Coturnix japonica: one gene and its partner. The protein of the gene in region 1 purifies or fractionates together with the protein of each later gene. This does not show direct contact. Links are inferred from orthologs where the notes say so. Each region holds a gene or a part of one and is shown on either strand. Other genes may lie near its edges.

Region 1 (8,467 bases):
ACTTTACTTTGAAGCTGGTTTGATCCAATCCAAGGAATTACTTTGTGTTGTGTATGACCCCAGACAGACTCATTCTGTTAAATCCCCCTTCCATTACAAAGCAGTAGAGGCACAGCCTGTTAACAAAATAAAATCACGCCCATGAAAAAGAACTGGTGTTCATTAGAAACAACGGTCTATACTATGAGACGTGGTGATTACTAAAAGTCAAATCTTGTTTAAAAATAATTAACATTAAGATAGATTATATTGATACGCAGGAGATAAACCCTACCTCTGTGATAGCTTTTCTTACAGCACTCCAGTGAGAGTCTGTTCTGGAAGAAAAAAAGAAAGATTTTTCTTTCATAACATGTTATAGTCATGTGGACAAAAATCTGAACACTAAATACATGCTTGCTGCATTATCCAATGAGCTGAAACATGAGGTGACATGAGGAAGGGTGGGCTTCCAGGTGGTGGCAGAGAAGTGACAGAGGCAGCTGTTCCTGTGGAGAAGCAGATTTTGGTTTGGACAGGAAGAAGGGCTGAAGTTCAGCATGAAAGTCCATTCCAGCTTCTCCATTAGAACTTTTTGTCAGTGAGGCCCAGGCTCTTGGAAGCCCAGGGCAGGCGGGAAGCTGGGCCTTTGCTCAGCTCTGGACAAAGAAGACTGAGGGTGGATGGAGGGCAGCAGAGATACCCCCACCAGGGCAGCACCACAGGATGGGAAAGGCCTTGGCACCCCCAGCACCTGGTGGTTGCTATGAGGGTGGCAGTTGGCCAACGTTATACTTATTTGCCTTTGCATCATTCCATTTACCTTTTTTTAATTTCAGTTCCATCTGCTGTTTCATCCACCACTTCTATGTGTCCATCACTTTCCTCTTGGCTTTCATCTTCATTATGGACCTATAAATCAGATTCAGAAGGGATAAGTGCTGGATTTTTTCACAGTTGTGCTCTTAAAAATGTTTTCTCCAAACACAGCACACGTGAATGGCTTAGAAGAGGAGATCTGTCTGTAACGACTGTCACTGAACAACTCTGCCCTTAGGTCTGCAGCTACAGCAGGGGATTGGACTATTCCTACAAAGACATTCTAAGCAAGAAAAGAGCCACCCAACAAACCCTATGTTCTGAAAAGTGCTGTTCCACTGCGTAAAGGTCAGTCTAGCAGAGCTCAGTGAGCCAAATTGTGTACCCACATTTACACGTCCATCACAGCTGTACACTGGATACATGCCCAAGAATAAACATACTAACACAAGTAAGCCATTAAAAAAACAGGGGGAGGGAACAAAACTTTAACAATCAATTTCAAAAAAGGTCTTTTCCCATCAAATCACCAACACAACCCGGCTTTTACATGAACTGATGCTTCACATGAATCACGAAAAGCAAGGATTAGTCCACTACAGCTTGGAGCCTTCAGAGCTGATCTTTAGTGGCAGACTACAGCACTAAAATACCACTGCATGCACACGTAAGCACTGTGACCGATTTCAGGCAGCAATATGATTAATGTACATAGCACTACAGAGGTGAGGCTAGAACAGGAGGCCGCATGCAGCACACTAACCGCCAGATAGGTCCTAGGCACGAGGCCTCTCTCCCCTTTTGAGTTCTCGGCTACCCACCAGCCATCCGCCTTCTTATCATGTATAAGCAGGACTTCACCTTTCTTTGCCATTAGGAGAGATGGAGAAAAAAGACAACCAAATATTTCAAAATGACACCAAACACGATTTGAATAACAATTCAATTGTTCTCTCTCACAGGTCACAGACTACAGCCACAGATTCTGCTGCTACAGAAAGAGGCAAAAGAACGCTGAACTGCAGTAAGGGAAATGCAGACTGGGGGAAGCCTTTCTTCCTCAAATCTTTCTGAATCCCAAAAGCATAGGATTTCATTATTGCCACCACTTAATACAGAATGACCCGCAGCACCAACATGGCAATCAATTCTATGGGCCTGCTTACCGTAAATGTGAGGTCCCCTTCCTGCTGTGCATTAAAGCTTCCCACTGCAATGCATTCTTTAACATCAGGATCATCCAAGTTATCCCCATCTTCCTCATCTGCTTCTTCACTTTCTTCTTCCTCACTGCTTTCACCATTGTCATCAGCACCCTCATCCTCTTCTTTATCTTTGTGTTCTCTCCGAGAATCTTTCAGACTCCCCTTGTTCCTACCCAAAATAAATCAAACTTTTTATTCACTTTTTAATTTTATATATATATATATATTTTAATTGCTGTTAAAGCCTTACAACACGGGCTTCCCTGTGTTATCCAGAAATCTCTTTGTAGACTCTGGCCTGACCTGAAATGGTTTTTCATCCCTAAGAATACAGACCACAGTACAACCTACGTTATATCTCAGCCATTAAACAAAATCCTCGGAAAACTGCAGCGAGGCTCTCTTGATTTCATTAATAAAACAAGCCCCAGGAGAGCCAGCTCTTTTGCAATAACTAATAAGGAGGATAAGCAGTCTTTGAAGGTTCTTTCCAGTGCTGTATGTATGACACTATTTAAGTACAGATGCTTGTTTGGGTTACTTACACCGTGTCCTTTGTAGCTGCATTGTCCTTATCCAAGACATGACAAAATTTCTGCAGCTGCTGGGATAGCTTTAGCAACAGCTTTTCTTCTTCTTCTTTCCTCTGATCGTAATTCCCCACAGGCGCAGGCTCGTCAGCCTGAGGAAGGAAAATACAACAAACCTGGTGTTTCTCTACAGTTTTACAGACACATCTCATGAGTTTTGATATTCCACAGCAGTGATAACTCCCTGCTTATGATATTTTATTGCCTTTTACTTCAACAAAATGAACTTTCACACTACATTTTCAAACTACATTCTCCTCTCCCAACACAATGGAGTGGGTTGATAAACACCTTTAAATATATTGGGTCAAGAAAGATTTTAATGCGCATAACAAAGCATTAAGAATATGCTTTCAGATCATATACATTAATCTCAGAGATCCCATTCGTAGGTTATGTGGTGCTAGGCATTACTTTCATCCTGAGGCATCTGAAATTGAAGCAGGTTACCATTCTCTGAATATTTACCACAATATGTTACAGGGAAAACCATTAGCAAGTCTCTATACCTACCTTTTTCAAACTACGAAGAGTATTTGTATTCTCGTCCACCAGTTTCTGCAGCTGAAAACACCTGCATTGAAAGCAAGACAGACAGCGTTACCTTACATCTGGTTGACGGGATATTGAATCACAAAATCACTTAAATGCGTATGTTTAGATGCCCATACCTTCTCAAAGCTGTATGAACACAAAGCTTTACAAAAAGAGACCAGTTTAATTCCGTCTGTAATTCATAAACCAAGCGTTTGGTGTGTCCTTAGAAGCAGTGTTTTAACAAAACTCAAGAAGCAGCAGCAGCAGATTTGGAGCAGAGGGACAAAATAAGATAATCTCCTGGCTCTGACAAGTTCTTGGTGTCAATCATTCACACAAGAATCCCTGAAGAACAAAGGGATGCGCAGCTTCACTGCTTGTTACCTGTGATGTGCAAGTTCCTGCTTTAAACAACTTCAGCCTTGAGGATTTCAGACAACCTGTGTGGTTACCCGTGCTACATCACTTCACAGGCACTTGCTGTCACTGCCCACACCCAGCACTGGGCAGGGTGCTGAGGGAGCCTGTTGCTGTTGCTGTAGCCTAGTGCTGCTCGGGGATAAGGCAGGAGTGCCACTGCACTATGAAAGCTGAACCCCTGCTTTCCATAATGCCCCAAAGACCAGGTAACACTGCATTAAGTAGAGGCTCTGGTGACTTCCCAGGCTGAACCTCAGCAAGAGAGAGCTGGTTCTGTGTCCTGGTATAGCATAAGTGGAGGCAGGTGATGAGTGGTGTCCCACAAGGGTCTGTCTTTGGATGTGCACTTCTGCATCTTTATCAGTGACTCTGACAGTGGGATTGAGTGTGCTGCTGACAGCACGCTGAGTGGTGTAGCTGATACAGCAGGGGAAGGTGGGATCGTTCAGCCTGGAGAAGAGAAGGCTGCGGAGAGACCTCACTGCGGCCTTATGGTGCCTCAAGGGAACTCATAAATAGGAATGGGAGCAAATTTTACAGTCTGAGTGTCAGGACAAAGAGGAATTTGAGGTTAGACGTTAAGGGGAATTTTCACTCAGAGGCAATGAGACGGACACAGGCTGCCCATAGAACACAGAATGCCCCACTCCTGGTGGTGCCCACGGCTGGATGGAGCCCTGGGCAACAGGGTCAGGTTGGGGTCAGCAGTTTAAGGCGGGGGTTGGTGCCCAATGGTTGTTAAGGTCCGTTCCATCCCCGGTACCGAGCTCCAGGCGCCCCGCAGCCCCGCTCACCTCTGCCTCAAGGCCTCCCGCTGCCCCACGGCCGCGCCCGCGCTCTCTGCCCGCAGCGCCTCCACCTGCAACACAGAGGGGTGCCGTCAGCTGCCGGAAGGGCTCCCCAGCGGCTGCCGGTACCGGTACCGATACCGGTACCGGTACTGATGCCGATACTGATACCGGTACCGGTACTGATACCGATACCGATACTGATACCGATACTGATACCGGTACTGATGCCGATACTGATACCGGTACCGATACCTGCGCCCGCAGCTCCCTGCTCTGGCGCTGCACTCTCTGCAGTGGGCTGCGCGCCCGCCGCCCCGTCATGGTCGCTGGGCAACGGGCGGCGCTGGGAGATGGCGTCACTGCCGGGAGCGCCGCGAGCGTGGGCCGGGATGGAGGATATGGAGTGTATGGAGTATGAACACACAGCAGGAACGAACACACCGAGTCCGACACACACACTCGTTTAATGCCCCGTTTAATGCCCCGTTGGTGCTGCCGGGCGCTGCTCCGTCTCCCCGCTCCCCACTCGTTCCGTCACGCCGGGATCCGCCGCTCGCTGCGCGCCGTGTCCTCACCCACGGCAGCGATGAGCCCGCGGTGCGGTCGGTTCGGTCCGTGTGATCAGCGCTGGCTCCGGGCATCGCCGGGCGGCGGGTCCGCGTGGCTCCGGCCGTACGATCGGGAGCCGGGCAGGGCGGCGCGGGGTCAGGCCGCCTCCAGCTGCTGCCGGGCGGCGTCCAAGCGGCGCTGCAGGCGGCTCTGCCTCCAGCGCAGGAAGCGGCGGCGGGCGCGGGCGGCCTGCCAGCCCACCACGACACCGGTGGCGAAGGCGGCCAGCAGCGCCCAGCGCACCGAGCGGGGCCTCAGCGCATCCAGCACCATCGGGAACGTGGCTGCAGCGCTGCGGGCGGACCCTGCGGCTGCCGCTCCTCCTCCCGGCCCTTCCTCCGCCTCCCGTTTCCGCCGGCGGGGCGGGCCCGTTAAATGCCGCGGGGTCGGCGGGAGGTGAAGCGTTTCCCCGGCCATGGCTGAGGCTGCTTCGCAGGTAGAGCCCTCGCCTCGGGCTGGGAGGTGGCACGGGGTGTAGGGCGGCGTGTGCTCCATCCCCGCCTGCGGGGCAGGGATATCGCCCTCTGCCCCCCTCCCCAAGCACCCCCTGACCTGTGTTTCTTCCCCTCCCCAGGAGCTCCTGCTGGCTGCAGCGTTTGTCTCTGATGCTCAATACAACAGAAATATCCCTTTTAAGACTTCCCCCGAGGCTGTCAGGTAAGGGGGCTGCAGGGCTCCGCTCCCCCAGGCAGCCTGGGAGGGGGCTGCGGTGGGTTCCTTCTCCTAACGAGTAGTGGGGCAGAGGCACGGCTGCACTGAGAGGTGCTGGGGGTTGAGAGAGCTGCAGGTGGGGATGTGGCACTGAGGGGTATGGTCGGGTTGGGCTTAATGATCTCAAAGGACTTACTCCCCAGGAGGGGAGTAAACTCTTCGAAAGGGCTGATAATAGCAGGACATGGGGAAATGGTTTTAAGTTAAAAGAGGGAAGATTTAGGTTGGATGTTAGGGGAAAGTTCTTTACTAAGAGAGTGGTTAGGCCCTGGAACAGGCTGCCCAGGGAGGTTGTGGATGCCCCGTCCTTGGAGGTGTTCAAGGCCAGGTTGGACGGGGCCCTGGGCAACCTGATCTAGTAAATGTGTATGTTTGGTGGCCCTGCCAGGCAGGGGGGTTGGAACTACATGATCCTTGAGGTCCCTTCCAACCCGGGTCATTCTGTGATTCTGTGTGATTCTGTGACTTCTCCAATCTCAGTAGTTCTCTATTAGGGGGAGCCGGCCTGTGTCTGCTGAGCTGAATAGCACTTGTGAGGCTAAGTGGCCTTCTTGGGTGGGATTGTAAAGGGCTGAATTGAAGCCAGGATGTGTGTATTAGATACAACTCATTGCATCTTGTGGGAAGACAAATTAAACCTTTTCTTTCTTTTCTTTTTCTGAAGGTAAAAACCAAAATGAAGCTGTAGTGCTGGCAGAGATTAATGAGTATGGACAGCTCAGTGCTTGCCTGCATGGAAGGAAGTGCTGGAGTGTGACTGCGTGGGGTGTGAGTTACAGGGTTCTGGTAGCCAGGTAGAACGGCTCTGTGCCAGCTGGGTTGGTAATGGGGGTAACAGCTCACATGCACCAACACTTCAGCTACTCCTACGAGCTTGTGGTGACTCTGCTCAGGTGCTTTTTAGCAAGGACAGTGGCTGCTAGAAGCAAGCAGTCACTAACAGCTTGTTAATGGGCAGTCAGGTAGATGAAATTCCCAAAACCAAAGCTGTTTTGCCTGTAATATTGACTCTCCCAATTAGCTGCTGGTACAACATCAGTCCCACTTTTAATTCTCTTAGCTTAGCTATTGGAGCTTCAGGGGCTTTGTACCACACAAGTGTGTTTGCTGAGTAGTTGGACAGTTTTTACGTGGTGGTGTCTTAGTGCTGTTGTTAAGGACAGCGTTGTCATCCACTTTATCACCTGCCTTGTACCTTTGTCTGGAGTGATGGTTGGGCAGGTGAGGTGATTACCTGGCAATGCAGGCAGCCTACCAATTAGCAGAGAAACCTGGTGCTCTCTGTGTGGATGTGCTCCAAAAGGAGCCACTATTGCAGCCTCCTGTGGACGACAGAGCTGGATGTGTTCATGATTAATATCAGCAGTCATCAGAGGCTTTGCTAGAGGGGACAGGATACTTCTTGACTTGTGTGTGTACATAGAAAAGCTTACTCTGCCAGAAACTTTTGCACACTTCCCTTTTCTATCTGTGTTGATGCACCCTTCTTCCTTTACTGTTTGGGAAGTGTGTGCTGTTTTTCCAGGACACCATATGGGTATGTTGGCTGAACCCCTTATTTATGATGCCTCTGCCTTCTCTCTACAGGCTTTATTATCTCTATAACCACTGGTTTATGCGAACAGCCACCTACTTCTTCATCTTTCTCAACCTCTCCCTTGCAGTGTTTGAAGAACCTGCTGTGTATCCACTCCCTTTCCTGGTGAGTTTCCAGGCAGTGCAGAAGTGATAATGCAGCTACTATTGTGCTACTCAATGGTTCATGCTTTAGACACCTTATCAAAGTGTAAAGAGGTGGTTGTTGCTGATCTTCCTGTTCATACTTCCCATATGCTGGAATGGGGACAAAAATGGGCATAGAAACTAGATAGGGTCCCATGGACATCCATCCACAGTGGCTGATTTGATCGGGCTGTGTCGCAGTGCTCCCTTCCATATCTTCAGCCTTTGTTTTTTTCTGTACCGATGCTTGTGATTAATGTATTCCTTAAATCCTAACCAAATACAAAGTTGCAGGCTCTAACCTGCACTCAACAGGGAATTCCACAAAAGGAAGCCTACAACTATTGCCAATGCATGAGCATATGGAACAGCCAGCAGCAAAACTCACTGGCGAGACTTTTATATGGGCCCTATTTATTTTGTCTTGCCTCTACCTCAGCCTGAGAATCCTTATCTGTATGAAGAAGACTAGAGTTGCTTTTCTTAGTCCTGACATGAGTCCCTTGTCTGCCTGCAGGCCACTTCCTCAGTGGAGGTGTTGTGCCTTCTGGTGTTCTTTGGCCGATTGATGCACTTTGCCAAAATCACCCGTCGCAATGTGTTTTGGAAGGATACCAAGAACATCTGCATCATGGTCGCAATCCTGGTGAGCTGGGAGTCACAAGGGCTGAGCTGGGCTATGTGGAGGCAGCTTTTTGTTCCTGCTGTGTCCTTTCTGGGGTCTGCTGTACGAGGGCCGTGGCCAAAGCAATTGGTGCATCAGCCTGTTCTCACAAACCTGGTGTATTTGTATCTGCCTGGTCTAGATGGTGAAGGTAACTGGATTGGCTCATACATGGTTCCAAACTTGTTTCTGTGGATTTTGATCCTCTTTCTTCTACAGCTGTCTCTGACTGATTTGGCCATATACGGGGCCCTCAGGATATACAACATAAAGAGTGTTCGATGGTCGAGAATAGTGAGGCCCATCTTCCTGGTCAACTTTGCAGAGAGCCGCCAGGTAAGGAAGGGATCTAATGGGAGGAATTCCTGCTTCTGGACAGCGTGCTGCTTTCTGAGAACTGAGGGAATGGAGTAGAATGTA
Region 2 (7,789 bases), on another chromosome or scaffold:
TCCCTTTACCTGCACAGTGCTGTGCTCATTGTGGAGCTCAGTGCATTGCCCAAACGAGGACCAGGAGCCGTGCCATGGCCTCAATAGTAGATGACCTTCACACAGAAGGTCTCCTCGTTCTTGTCCTCGTGGTCATTGATGTAGATCAGGATCTCCTCCTCACCCACGCTCTGACTTGGAGCAAAGCGCAGCCCGATGGTGTACACCTCCTCACCAGCAACCTGCACACAGCACAGCAGGCACATGGGGAGGGGCTGGGGGGCATCACAGGGCCTGATGAAGCTCCTATAGGGGTAGGGGTGTACCTGAAAGGAGTCCTCCTTGAACTGCAGCAAATCAGGCCGGCTGGTGACCAGAAAGTACAGCCTGTGTGTGGGGTAGGGATTGGTGTAGGTGATGCGCTTGTTGGAGCCCTTCCCACTGCCCGCAGGGATGGTGATCTCAAAGGCCTGCAAGGCACAGAACAGCACTGAGGTCAGACAGAGCCTAGGCTGCTTTGCTGTGCACCCAAGGGGCAGCCCAGCACACCTTGCTGCTCTGTCCCACTCCCCTTCTGCTCCGTGCACTCAGTTCCTGCCATCAGCTACACGTGGAACGACCTCTGAGTAAAAGCATCTCTCCTCAGGCTGCAGTTTGCATCACTACATCCACAGAATTAATTATGAGACCGGGTGACAAAGGGCCAGAGGAGCAGCTGGGGACTGGCCAACCAACGCTCCGACTAATTAATTTATTTCCATGGGGATAACCACGGTGCTAATTCAGATAACATGGCAGAGCACAGGGAGTGGGGCTCGAGCTCATCAGGAGTGGAGTGACATCAGTTTAAATGCTGCTCTCCAACCTCATCCAGCTCCGAGTGTTCCAGGAAAAACATTTCTAAAACGAACACATTAACTGGGAGATCTAATTTGCTATCTTTGAGCAAAGCCCTAACCTAGTGCAGTGCTAATAGAAAGCAGCATGCTGTAACTTTAATTTCACAACTGGGTATACTTCAGAGTTGACATTCCTCAGCGTGGAATTGCCTTCAAAACAGGCTGAAAGATACTTTACGGTGGGCTTCAGTGAGATTATTCAGGCACTAGAAGGCTAAACATGTGCTCCAGTGTTTAAGAGAGGTGGGGAAATGGGCATAGGAACAGGCAGCACGGGTAGAGTCCACACACATCCTGCAATTGTGGCAGGTAAAGACAAGTGACCCAGAGTTACACTGCAATACCGCTTTAGGAGATTAACTCAAAGAGGACAGTTAATCTCTAATCTGTCAGTAATTCTTAGAAATTGGCTTTAGGATCCTTGTTCGTGACAGTTGGGAATAATGGCAGCGTCTGCACGAAGACCAAGCGCTCGGCTGGCAATCGATAGCACAGCAGCACAGCCCCCAGCACACATCCCTCCTCATGCACAGAGGAGGAGAATACATGCCAAAAGTGGGTGTAGATGAAGCAATAAGCAGCAGCCAGCCCCGGGCTATCAGCATGGCACAGCCCCCAGCCCAATGGGGTCACCATGCTGACCCTCCTCCCCGTGAGTACCTTGGAAATGAGAGGCTGCCGGCAGGTGATGCAGAGCAGCCAGGAGGACACCAGCTGGTGGCACTCCACATCCACCAGGTTGAGGTAGAAGAATCTGCTGCCAGCCCGGAGCGGCCTCACACCCACAAACAGATCCACGAGGCCATTGGAGGGCAGGAAGAACGCATCTGCTGGGTCCACCTGCAAACACAGAGCAGAGGAAGGAGCTCAGGGCCCATCAGAACCTCCTCCCTCAGTTCCCGATGCTACAAGTCACAAAAAGCCATAACAGAGGGTGTCCTCAGTGAGGAGACAGCATCAGCATCGCTCACAGCTGCCGCCAGCATCCCCCCCTGAGAGGGAGCAGAGGAATAAATGAAGACAAACGGCGTGCAGATCGTTTTTGGAAGGCAGGCAGGCACCCCATGGCAGGAACAGCTGGGAGGGAATCTGCACCTCCATGAAGTCCAGCTCAGAATACAAATGAGCTCTGATTACACTAAGGAACGTACACCTATGATAGGAATATTTAATCCCATCTATATTAATGTAGAAGATCTGGCTGCATGACAGTGCCCATACCAACAGCAAGAGGACCCTACCAGCACTTTCCCAAGAGCTGCAGGGATCTTCTCCTACCCACACTGCTCGCTTTGAGCACTGCAGCAGAACCCAACATCAGCACAGCCGAGGCACAATGCTGGTATGGGATGGGCTGCAGGCAGTCCCCAAGCCTGGATTCAATGGCACACACCTCCGTGCTCCCATCCTCAATGGGATTCGTTCCTTCTTGCAGCCTCTGATAGCTGGGATTTTTTTCCTTTATTTATGGGACAGGAAGGGAGTTTTTGTTCCTTTCATTACTCCCATTTACAATTATGACTAAATGAATTCTAAAAGAAATTAATAGTCTTCAGATAGTCTCATTAACGCAGATAATTTGCCCTCTGGGGTTTTGTACCGACGATCCTACACATGACAGCTTTAATCAAGAGGTAATTATCACAAAGGCAGTACATTCTCCCTAACTCCAAACGGGACCCATTGCATTTCCAAGGCTCACAGTGCTACCAACCCAGGCCAGCCCCCAAGGGGACCCAGCAGGGACCCCCATGGCATTACCTTCAGTTCATGGGGATGGGAGCAGAACGCCTTCACCCTGCGCAGGGTGCGGGTGCCGCGCAGCGGGACGGCCAGGCGGGAGAGCTGCCCTGCAGTGCAGCTGACATCCAAACGCTGCAGGGAATGCAGGTAGACCTGCCAGATGCGCTGCGGTTTGGCCAGCCAGGGATCCCTGCAGCAGAACAAAGCAATGGCACAGTCCATACTTGGTGCATTCGGCCCCAAGAGCACCTCAAGCTTTGGGCAAACGTCTCCAAAGGAATTTCAGCCTTGCTCATGCAGAGAGAATGAATTAAGCCTGCAGACAGAGAGGCCATCTCCTACACTCACACCATTATTTAAGAGAGATTGGAAAAGCAAACGGGTATTTTGGGAAGCCTCCTGCCCAGCTCAGCAAGCAGAGCTGGGGAACCAGCAAGAGAACACTGATGGGAAACGCTCCTCCTGCTCTGCCTGTGCTCGGGGTGGTCCCTTCTCTTCTTTCTGGCTCCTGTTACTTACGTATAAATAGCAACAAAAAATGTTTTGATCTGTGGGCTCGGTCCTCCAGCTACTTTTAAGAAGACGTCCTGTGGTTCCCCAGGACCCTGCGCACAGAAATCAGAGCATCGTTAGGATGGTTAACCTGGAGATCAAACCAGCTAATGAGGACTCCAGGGTTTCCTTTCTATCAAGGAAAAAAAAACACACCAACCCACTTACAACAGCAGATGCTTTCAGGATCTAGTTAAAAACCACGTTATTAAGTTATCATACAGCTTGGTTGAGCTCTTCCAGTGTTTTTAATTACAAAAGAGGACACAAACGACTTCTTGCATTCCAGGTTTGCAGCTGTAATCAAATTTGGGCAATTTTTCCCTAAGTTTCCTAACAAGCCATAATCCAATTACCATTGGATCATGCACTGGAAATTAGTAACTACCCTTCACCACTGCCTCTGTTTATACACACACACACACAGATTCATTTCCACTTCTATCTCAAGCAGCAGAAAGAGAGCCCTGCAGACCTCACAGGGAAGCACAAAACAGGAGCGGTGTTTGGGGAGACACACAAAGCACCTTTCAGGGCTTGATCCAAAGAGGAACATAGTAAAGAAGACACCAGTATTGATTTGCACCAGGTCAGGAGGGAAATGAGGCTGGAACCAACCCTGAACTATTTACTCTCCAGTAAAACAGGCACAACATGAAGCATCGGATACCAAAACAATGCAGCTTGTTTCAATTGGAACCGAAGGCAATTCTGCCTTAATCACAGCCAGTATTTCATCCCTATAGGCCGATAAATCAGGATGCTGCCACGGGTTGATTAAAACAAGAAACCACAGCAGAAGGATACAAGACAAAGCGACATAGGAGTGTAAGTGGTACCATGTTTTTGGTTTCACAGATCACGTTGGGGTCACTGCAGCGGACATGGACCTCAGGCTCACCACCCCGTATCCCCACCAGAGCTCCTGGAAGAGACAACAGCACATGTAACATTACAGAGCGTTTTATTCATGTTTTATTCTACACCATCACGCAGCTGTGAGCTGCAATCCCTTATGTTGAGCTACGGGAGAACAACCGGGTCAGACCGGTTCAAGAGAGTACAAAATTAGTGCAAGCAGATGGATAGAAAGCAAGCAAGGAAGCCCAAAGGCCATAGCAGAATCATGAACAGCCTTTGACGATGCCAAGAAGCAGAGAAAGCATCCCGGATCGCTCTCTGGATGCCACCCCCACCTGCTGGCAGAGCCCTGAGGATCACCTGGGAGCGTGTGCCATGGAGGCAGGCGGATGGCCTTCTTCAGGAAGGTCAGCTCGGGGTGGTAGAAGCGGAAGGTCTGATCCACCACGTGGGGCCGGGGCTCAACCTTCACCTGCAGCAGCGCAATGGGTTTGCCCTCACTCACAGAGAAAGCCACCTGCATGGGGGGAAGGAGGGCAGAGCAGCTCAGTGCCAGACATGGGAACAGCATGGTGAGGTCAGCACTCCATTGCTGGGGCTGGCAGGCAGCCCCACGTGTCTCTGCATCCCCACCTGGATGGTCTTCATCTGCACAGCCCTTGACTCCTCCTGCATCCTCCCTGCATTCTCTTCCTTGCTCAGCCCCACTGGCCCCTGCAGGAAACAGAGCACTTGGTTTTGTGCTTTTGTCATGGAAAACCATATCACTTGGTTTTGTCATGGAAAAAGCCCCATGACACATAAGCAGTGTTTCCTTGGCAATGTCACCACACTCTGCACCCAAACACGATGCAGCTCCCAGCATACCAGCAATGCTGCAACAACTGGCTCTGCAGAGAACGTCTGGTATCGGAAGGGAATGTGCACGGTCTCCTCGGGGCGCAGGTAGACCTGAGGCTTGAGGTCATCCCGCAGGTGGAACATGTCCTCCTCCAGCGGGGTGGCTGTGTGGGTCAGCTCCTTGAAGTGCCGCCATTCCCTCGGGTCCAGTATGACACTGGAGGAGCGAGAGATGGAGCTGGTTGGCAGCACGTACCACCCCATCACCACAGATGTGTGCTGGGAAAGGTCCAGCTCCAAACCAGACAGGAGATGGTGAACAGACCCCACGGGCACTATGAGCACAAACACACACACACAGATGGTTGTTGGCCACTACCTGAGCTCGGGGTGATCAACCTCAACCGTCACCGTTTGCTGGACGTTGTAGGGGTTCTTCAGGACAAACTCAAAGAATTCAGCCGTCCCCAGCGTGGCATACAAAGTGTAGGTGGTGGTCATGGCCTGTCTGAGCACTTGGGTGATATACCGGTGCTTGACGCGCTCCCGGTAGGCACTGACGATCTGCAGGTACTTCATGTGCTGCTCAATGGAGCCCTGCAGGGATGAAGGGGACAATAAGCCCAGAGGCAGCACAGGTTGTGCCAAGCACCCGGCCTGTCCTCACCATGTATTGTGGGATCCTGCAGATAGCACCATCCTGCTGCTGCTCCACCGCCAAGCACTGCGGCTCGTGCTGCTGGATGGCTGTGGCTTCATGAGACTCACACAAGCGTTCTGGGATCTGCTCCAGCTGGTGCCTCCACAGAATGGCAGCCAGCTCAGGATCCACCTCAGCCAGCCTACGGGGCCGAGATACCCTGACATCTGCAGGGACACAGCACTCAGGTCACCAGCTCTGTGCGAGGCAGGATGGCACCCCCCAGTCTGGGGATGGCAGGGAGGGGCTGAGCACCCCCAGAAGGACTCACCAGAATGCAGGGTCAGCTCATGGCCACTGCCTGGAGAGGGCACAATGTGGGTGTGGGGCAGTGATGGGCAGCCAGGGCTCACGGGGGTCTCCCCACAGTGGTGACCTGGTGGGGCAGAGCCTGGGGTCAGCCCCATCTCAGGGCTGGGATGGAGTGCTGGGCTATGCAGACCAGCAGCATGTAGTAACAGCAGGAGGTTACAGCCAGCCAGGACATGGAGCAGACAGTGCTGGTGATAACCAACAGAAAGACAACAGCCAGCACACATCCACCTCCTCTGAATTACCAGGCACTTACATCCCAACATTTTCTTCCCCTTAAATTGTCATAGATCTCTTAAAGTGTCACAAAATCTACCGGAAAATGTTATTCCCACCACAGATCTTTACAGACAGTTTAAAAAAGTGGAAGCAAATATCTCATTGCTTACAATGTTCTCTGCATTTCACGATGATCCCTCTGGAATCCTATTGCTATTGCACTCCATCTATCTTTTCTCTAAGTGACAGAGCAGTTTCCTACTGAACAGCAATGGGGACGTCCAAGTGACTTAATGTCAACCTTTGGAACCAGCTCAGGTTTCCATCCTCACTTGGTGACGTTTCAGAACCACAAACCTGCTCCACCACCACTTCATGCCTGGAGCCCAAGGCACCAAGAGCCCTCAGACACCAACTGAAGGTAGTTGGAATTTACTTAAAGAAAAGGAAAATAAACAAGTGTTTTGAAAGGCCAGAGCAACCAAAGGGCCGCTGCTGTCCTGGAATGGAGTGTTTTTCCTTTCCCCTTTCTTTTGCCAGGTTGGAGTTAAACTCCTCTCTGGGTTGTGAATCTCACATCCCCCCTCCCAGGAGCTTATCATCCTTTTGCAGGCAAAGTAGGAAAATGACAATTTAAGATATCTTCAGAAGAAAGATTAGCTCCATTATAAGATAAGAGTTTAAAACCTGGAGTCACTGCACATTTATAGGACGGTGAATTAAATATAACAAAATACCCGCTGCACTCCGGGATGAATAACACCCTCAGCAGCTCTGGTTTCTGATGCAGGCTGCTCTGCCATTCATCCCATCCCTGCTACCCACCTGTGTATCACTGCCTGCATCCATCAGCCTCAGTGCTACCCTGCAGGAGGTGGGGATGGTGGGCAGAGCATCAGGGCGCTCCATGCCTCCAAGCTCAGCATCTGCCTCCCCCAGTCACAGGGCTGACACCCTCTGTTGGGTATCTCAGAAAAGCTTTTTGCTTTCTGGAACATTTTGCAACACTATGAAGGGCTCCAGAGGGTACTCACCAATGTTGGCCAGGCAGAGGTGCAGGCGGCCCCGCACGGCCACACGGACACCCAGGGGTCGCAGCACATCCCTGCCTGCTGCTGCATCCTGCTCATATACAGTGGTGCCAACCTCCAGCTCATGCAGAGTCCTGACAGCCGGCCGGCCCTGGCGCAGCAGGGGCTGTAGAGGAAGCAGGGATAGGGCAGCACCCACCTCCAGCAGGATAGAGGCTGCTGTGCCTCTATCACAGCACAGAGCCCCATCACACACACCCATCTCCCACTCTCAGCAGATGCATTTCTTTCCCAGGCTGCCCCAGACGCAGCTCTTTCATTGCAGCTTCTCCCCAGGAAGATAACAGCCAGGCGTTCGGGTAACTAGTTACTGGGGCAACTCAGATCCAAGAGATTAAGAGATCTGGATAAAGATGTCTCTGCATTTCCTAGGCCTGCTTTAATTTTTCTATCCAGTAAGCCTCAGCGTGGCACAGAAGTTCCAGGGAAGAAAGTTAATGCTCCGCCGTCGCTTTCAAGGATAAGATGACAAATCCTGTGATTACAGGCTTGTCAGATTGACATCAGTCTCCGTTAAACAAAGTGGCTGATAAAAACTTGATTACTGAAGACTCAAGGGTAATCTAACAGCATCTCGGCACAGGACAGAAGGA

The links. Proteins that work in one complex are often made in the same cells at the same time.
Region 2: the proteins of NPHP1 (region 1) and NPHP4 purify together in Homo sapiens (co-immunoprecipitation; 6 studies listed by BioGRID and IntAct, with this or other methods). This does not show direct contact. The link is inferred for Coturnix japonica from reciprocal best matches to the Homo sapiens genes NPHP1 and NPHP4.

What each region holds. Positions count from the first base shown.
Region 1 is NC_029518.1:4,649,779-4,658,245, reverse strand, and holds the start of NPHP1 (nephrocystin-1), read right to left. Parts: upstream 4,765-8,467; 5' UTR 4,663-4,764; coding exon 4,594-4,662; intron 4,410-4,593; coding exon 4,345-4,409; intron 3,168-4,344; coding exon 3,107-3,167; intron 2,686-3,106; coding exon 2,549-2,685; intron 2,396-2,548; exon of another isoform or gene 2,173-2,395; coding exon 1,965-2,172; exon of another isoform or gene 1,761-1,964; intron 1,664-1,760; coding exon 1,562-1,663; intron 1,147-1,561; exon of another isoform or gene 892-1,146; coding exon 803-891; intron 318-802; coding exon 275-317; intron 1-274. Other genes in the region: MTLN (mitoregulin), read right to left, coding at 5,047-5,445; two pore calcium channel protein 1-like, read left to right, coding at 5,366-5,386, 5,525-5,607, 7,249-7,363, 7,901-8,029, 8,267-8,383. UniProt on the Homo sapiens protein: Together with BCAR1 it may play a role in the control of epithelial cell polarity. Involved in the organization of apical junctions in kidney cells together with NPHP4 and RPGRIP1L/NPHP8. Does not seem to be strictly required for ciliogenesis.
Region 2 is NC_029536.1:573,089-580,877, reverse strand, and holds part of NPHP4 (nephrocystin-4), read right to left. Parts: intron 7,303-7,789; coding exon 7,140-7,302; intron 5,951-7,139; coding exon 5,846-5,950; intron 5,742-5,845; coding exon 5,542-5,741; intron 5,472-5,541; coding exon 5,254-5,471; intron 5,092-5,253; coding exon 4,902-5,091; intron 4,749-4,901; coding exon 4,668-4,748; intron 4,552-4,667; coding exon 4,395-4,551; intron 4,099-4,394; coding exon 4,013-4,098; intron 3,227-4,012; coding exon 3,141-3,226; intron 2,812-3,140; coding exon 2,640-2,811; intron 1,719-2,639; coding exon 1,539-1,718; intron 450-1,538; coding exon 306-449; intron 222-305; coding exon 81-221; 3' UTR 1-80. UniProt on the Homo sapiens protein: Involved in the organization of apical junctions; the function is proposed to implicate a NPHP1-4-8 module. Does not seem to be strictly required for ciliogenesis. Required for building functional cilia.